Oryza sativa Japonica Group: one gene and its partner. The protein of the gene in region 1 binds, or shares a complex with, the protein of each later gene. Links are inferred from orthologs where the notes say so. Each region holds a gene or a part of one and is shown on either strand. Other genes may lie near its edges.

What was found.
Region 2: small ribosomal subunit protein uS13c (region 1) and rps8 share a complex: the UniProt entries of both Arabidopsis thaliana proteins name them as parts of the 30S ribosomal subunit. The link is inferred for Oryza sativa Japonica Group from reciprocal best matches to the Arabidopsis thaliana genes EMB3137 and rps8.

Annotation. Positions count from the first base shown.
Region 1 is NC_089037.1:29,173,716-29,177,557, forward strand, and holds small ribosomal subunit protein uS13c, read left to right. Parts: upstream 1-1,334; 5' UTR 1,335-1,428; coding exon 1,429-1,527; intron 1,528-2,221; coding exon 2,222-2,461; intron 2,462-2,844; coding exon 2,845-3,021; 3' UTR 3,022-3,236; downstream 3,237-3,842. Other genes in the region: uncharacterized membrane protein At4g09580, read left to right, coding at 1-18. UniProt on the Arabidopsis thaliana protein: Located at the top of the head of the 30S subunit, it contacts several helices of the 16S rRNA.
Region 2 is NC_001320.1:76,162-78,462, reverse strand, and holds rps8 (ribosomal protein S8), read left to right. Parts: upstream 1-1,354; coding exon 1,355-1,765; downstream 1,766-2,301. Other genes in the region: rpl16 (ribosomal protein L16), read left to right, coding at 333-734; rpl14 (ribosomal protein L14), read left to right, coding at 844-1,215; infA (translation initiation factor 1), read left to right, coding at 1,902-2,225. UniProt on the Arabidopsis thaliana protein: One of the primary rRNA binding proteins, it binds directly to 16S rRNA central domain where it helps coordinate assembly of the platform of the 30S subunit.

The sequences.
Region 1 (3,842 bases):
AAGAGAATATACGAATGATGCCACTAAAAAGCATCTAAACAGTGTATTAGTAGAGCACTCCAGAAGTGTATTAGTTTTTTTTCCCTTTCTTTGTTGATATTGTATACCTATTCAATTTAGCTGTAGAGATGTAGTAGTAACATGATGAATGTTTTCCTCAATAATAGATGACGCTAAGCTGTTGCATCTGTTGCCCCAATGTTCTTATAAATCCCCACGTCCCAATTAACGATGCGGTGGAACTATCTGGTTGTTGTGGTTTTACAGTAAATCTTACTGCTCCCAATTGGATGGGCAACCTTATCCGTCGTTTTGAAATGATGTGTTATTTGCCACCAATTGTCCTATTATCTCCATTTATTTTATTTTCACTTGAGACATTTCTGCAAGATGATATTCAGAACGTTCCCCACAGATTATCCTAATACAAAATGCAATACGAATTAAACTTACATTTAGTAGTACCTAAACTGTTACATCTAGGATTATAAACGTGCTGAAATTCTTTATCCTCCCACAAAAACCCCAGAAATTTATATTCAGAGGAAGCTTATGCAGTTCTTTATCCTCCCACAAAAACCCCAGAAATTTATATTCAGAAGAAGCTTATGCAGCATAGCTGATCCTAAAGGCTACAACATATTCTTCTTTTTTTCCTAGAGAGAGGAGAATATTTTCTTTCGTGTTTACTCCCTCCATCTTAAAAAAAAGCTTAAAAAAAAGAAAGTCAGGAACATAACTTAAAAAAGCTTTAAAAAAAAAGAAAGTCAGGAACATAACTTAAGACTGTGTTCGGGAGGAACTCACCTCTCGCGCACGTAAAACGGAGCGAAGCATTTTCTTATGATTAATTAAGTATTTATTAATTGTTTTTGAAAAATGATTTTTTAAAAGCAACTTTTGTGTAGAAATCTTTAAAAAAACACATCGTTTAACCGTTTGAAAAGCGTGCATGCAGAACACAAGGGAGATGTGTTGGAAAAAGTGGGAAAAGAACACAGCCTAGTACTAACTTAATAGCCTAGTACTAACTTAGGGTGTGTTTAGTTCACGCTAAAATTGGAAGCTTGATTGAAATTAGAACGATGTGACAGAAAAGTTGGAAGTTTATGTGTGTAGGAAAGTTTTGATGTGATGTAAAAGTTGGAAGTTTGAAGAAAAAAATTGCAACTACGGCGTTATCTAGATATGGAGTACTCCTAGCTTGTTCTTTTTTCTTTTTCTTTTTTTAACAGAAGGAGTAAACTAGCGACTTGACCTGTTTGGGCCGTACCCTGCAAGGCCCAACCCAAGAAGTCGCCGATACAGTGGTAGCCTACAGGTGCGGCTACCTTATCGGCTTCCTTCCCGTTGGGTTCTATCCGAGACAGCACCGAGAGCTCCGGGAGAGAAGCGCACGCACCTCCGTCCCTCGTCGGGAGCGCAGAAATGGCGACCCTCTCGATGGTCTCCGTCCCCATCGCCACCTCCTCCCTGCCCCTCTCCGCCCGAGGCCGCAGCTCCTCCGTCTCCTTCCCCGTTCCCAAGGTGAGAAGCAAAGCCACCCCTCCCCCCGCCTCCCCCCTCCGCGCCCACTTCTTGTTCGGCCATTTGCTCGCTCGTCCTGTTCCTTGGTTCTGTGCGATTGATATGTGATTCACGCATGACGCATCGTACATCCGTATCACTTATTGCAACTCAACCCCTGGGATCGTTTTGTTATCTTTGCCATCTTGGAGGTTGGGGAGGCTAGTGGCCGTGCTTTGTGTACTACAGTACTAATTTTGAGTATGTGCAATTCAGTAGTTTTTTTTCCGTGATGTTGGAAGAACAGTGTTCCTGTGCAATTTTAGAATTATTGGCATCTGTGAGGAACTAGTATTTATATGCTTGTATGCTTATGAGTTTGAATCTCTGCCCCTAGCACATATCATGTTGGAAGAATGGATAGTGTTACGAAGTAGTATTTCTTTGGACAGCAGAGTGTATATGTAATTCATGTAGGGACTAGGAATAGCAAAGAAGGTTAATTATGCATATAGGATGTAAAAAGAATCGTAATTCCTTGTTAGTACTCCCTCAGTTTCATACTATAAGTAGTCAAAGTTCTTTAGGTTTGACCAAGTTTAAAGAAAAAATTTCCCCACCCCATTATCTTTACTTGCCCAGTCATTTGTAGGCCTGTGCTTTTAACTGTGTTGTGGTTTTGATTCTTTTTTTTTTATTATTGGGTACTGGACAGAAAGGGGGTATTGGTCATGGTGGCCTGCGGATCGAGTGCATTCGTATTGGTGGAGTGGAGATCCCGAACCACAAGAGGGTAGAGTACTCACTGCAGTACATCCATGGCATTGGGCGGTCACGCTCCCGTCAGATCCTCTTGGACCTCAATTTTGACAACAAGGTCACAAAGGACCTCTCCGAGGAGGAAGTCATCACTCTCCGTAAGGAGGTTACCAAGTACATGATTGAGGGAGACCTTGTAATGGCCCTATCCCTTGCTAATTCATCACTTAACTTTTTTTCTGTAATTTTGGTGATTAGTATGGTTACCCTACTTTGGTACTTCCTCCGTTTCACAATATAAGTCATTCTAGCATTTCCCACATTCATATTGATACTAATAAATCTAGATAGATATATATGTCTAGATTCATTAGCATCAATATGAATGTGGTAAATGTTAGAATGACTTACATTGTGAAACGGAGGGAGTAGCATGTTGAAGATTCCTTGAAATTTGGTACCCTTAAACTGATCGTTCTGAAAAAAAAAAGACTCTGTAGTTCTTTTCCCATTTCTGTCATCGTGGATTTATGTTGTGTTGCTAAAATAGAGTTCTGATGTGTTTGCCATGCTTTACAGAAACGGTTTAATCGTGTGGCGATTGAGAGGTTGAAGGAGATTAGGTGTTACAGGGGCATCCGCCACAAGCTAGGGCTGCCAGTTCGTGGACAGAGGACGAAGAACAATTGCAGGACGCTGAAGGGAAGGAGGGCTTCTGTTGCGAAGAAGAAGTCGCCTGCTTCCCAGGAGGAATAAGACACATTGCCATGTATTTACCTTTGGTTCTTTGCCTCTTGTTTATTTTTTGTGTTCTGCTTGACCACGCTCTTGTCTGGTATTATGAGATTTTATGTTGGTGTCGTCATAGATGAATCACGGGTTGTGATCTGTCACTGAAAAAGTTATATTTGTCACCTGTCTTACATGAACTGATGCTAAATTAAGGTTATACTATGTTTTTCAGTCCATCATCTTGCTGTCTCTCTTCTGTTGTCATATCTATGCTTGACCGACCTGTTCCTGATGAATTAACGTATCGCCAGTTTTCTGTCCATTTGTTCCACATGCCACCGTCAGATCTAATGCCTTGTTAACTTTACAAGCTGAAAGAGGAGTATCAGTGTAGCTGAATAATAATATTAGGAACCTGCCTTGCTGATAGCAGCAGACGGGGCTTTTAACTATTTGCCACTCTTACGAATGGTGCTTAACGATTTGCTACTAGACCCACATGTCATAGACACATGAGGGCCCACATGTTATTGGCAGGGTGTGGCAAATCGTTAATTGCCATGTCACAAGAGTGGCAAATAGTTAAATTTCCCGCAGCGGACACCAGTCGAGATTTTGGTTTTTTGTGAAGAGATGATTTAAACTTGAGTTACCAATTACCATGATTACCATGCGTGTGGTTGGAACATGGAACTTTCTGGAGAGAGCTGCTCGGCTCAATCTTGGCTTGTTCACTTTGTTGTCCAAATCAACCATACCAAATTTTGTTACATTTCGGTACTACTGGCTTTGTTTGGTTTGATATCTTACCAAATTTTGGTAGAGGTTTAAGAGGAAGCTTCTAA
Region 2 (2,301 bases), on another chromosome or scaffold:
CGATTCAATAAGAGTAAAATAAAAAAAGGAGATTAAAAAAAAAAAAAAAAAGAATTACATTAAATATAGAATATAGATAAATAAACATACACATCTAGATATATTCTAGATCCTCTTTCTTGACTATATATTTTAGTATTTTAATAAATTCAATATTAAAAACCCTAACCTTTCCTATTAATGTGTATCTATCCGTAATATTTTAGAATATTGTGGAATTAGAGAAATTTGGCACACTTTCTCATTTGATTCGCGAGGAGCTGGATGAGAAGAAACTCTCATGTCCAGTTTTGCAGTAGAGATGGAACTAAGAGAGAACCATCGACTATAACCCCAAAAGAACCAGATTTCGTAAACAACATAGAGGAAGAATGAAGGGAAAATCCTACCGAGGCAATTGTATTTGTTTTGGTAGATATGCTCTTCAAGCACTTGAACCCACTTGGATTACGGCGAGGCAGATAGAAGCAGGACGAAGAGCAATGACACGATATGCACGTCGTGGTGGAAAAATCTGGGTACGTATATTTCCCGACAAACCGGTTACAATAAGACCGACCGAAACACGTATGGGTTCGGGAAAGGGATCCCCCGAATATTGGGTAGCCGTTGTTAAACCAGGTCGAATACTTTATGAAATGGGCGGAGTATCCGAAACTGTAGCTAGACGAGCTATTTCCATAGCTGCCAGCAAAATGCCCATACGAAGTCAATTTCTTCGGTTAGAAATATAACCCCCCAAAAAAAGTAGTATTGAAAATAAAAAACCAGGTTCTTCTTTCTGGAAAGACAATATTTCTTTCATCCTTTTGCATTGAAATAACAAATTGAAATCAAAATAATATGATTCAACCTCAGACCCTTTTAAATGTAGCAGATAACAGTGGAGCTCGAAAATTGATGTGTATTCGAGTCATAGGAGCTGCTAGTAATCAGCGATATGCTCGTATTGGTGATGTTATTGTTGCTGTAATCAAAGACGCAGTGCCCCAAATGCCTCTAGAAAGATCCGAAGTAATTCGAGCTGTAATTGTACGTACATGTAAAGAGTTCAAATGCGAAGACGGTATAATAATACGCTATGACGACAATGCAGCGGTTATCATTGATCAAAAAGGAAATCCAAAAGGAACTCGCGTTTTTGGCGCGATCGCCGAGGAATTGAGAGAATTGAATTTTACTAAAATAGTTTCATTAGCTCCTGAAGTATTATAAATACTAGTAGACAAGATATAGATCAAATAAAAAATTAGTAGATTGTGTTTCACGTATATGCTTTAGAATCCAAAACGAAAAGAAAAAAGAGAACATGTTGATTATAGAAAAATTAGGAGGAACCTAGAATTAGAGTCTTATGGGCAAGGACACTATTGCTGATTTACTAACCTCTATAAGAAACGCGGACATGAATAAAAAAGGAACTGTTCGGGTAGTATCTACAAATATTACCGAAAACATTGTTAAAATACTTCTACGAGAGGGTTTTATTGAAAGTGTTCGGAAACATCAGGAAAGTAACAGATATTTCTTGGTTTCAACTTTGCGACATCAAAAGAGAAAGACTAGAAAGGGAATATATAGAACTAGAACCTTTTTAAAGCGTATCAGCCGACCTGGCTTACGAATTTATGCCAACTATCAAGGAATTCCTAAGGTTTTGGGCGGAATGGGAATTGCTATTCTTTCTACTTCTCGAGGTATAATGACAGATCGAGAAGCTCGACTAAACAGAATTGGGGGAGAAGTCTTATGTTATATATGGTAATCGCCCGCCTATAGCGGTAATCGCCCCACCTATAGTTATAGTACCCAAATTCTATCTTGAACTTCCTATTTTTCAAACAAAAATACAACGTTTTTTTATTTGAAAATAAAAAAAGAAAAATAGGAGAAAAAAAAATATGACAGAAAAGAAAAATAGGAGAGAAAAAAAAAACCCGAGAGAAGCAAAAATTACTTTCGAGGGTTTAGTTATGGAAGCCCTACCCAACGGAATGTTCCGCGTTCGCCTAGAGAATGACACCATCATCCTGGGCTATATTTCAGGAAAGATCCGGTCTAGTTCTATACGAATACTGATGGGGGATAGGGTCAAAATTGAAGTAAGTCGTTATGATTCAAGCAAGGGGCGTATAATTTATAGACTTCCCCATAAGGATTCGAAGCGTACCGAAGACTCGAAGGATACCGAAGATTTGAAGGATACCAAAGATTCAAAGGGTTAGGTTTTTCTTTTTTTTTTCTAGGGTAAAAAATTCAAAGTTCTAAAATTCAAACAAAGAGACTTATTTTTTCCAAAAG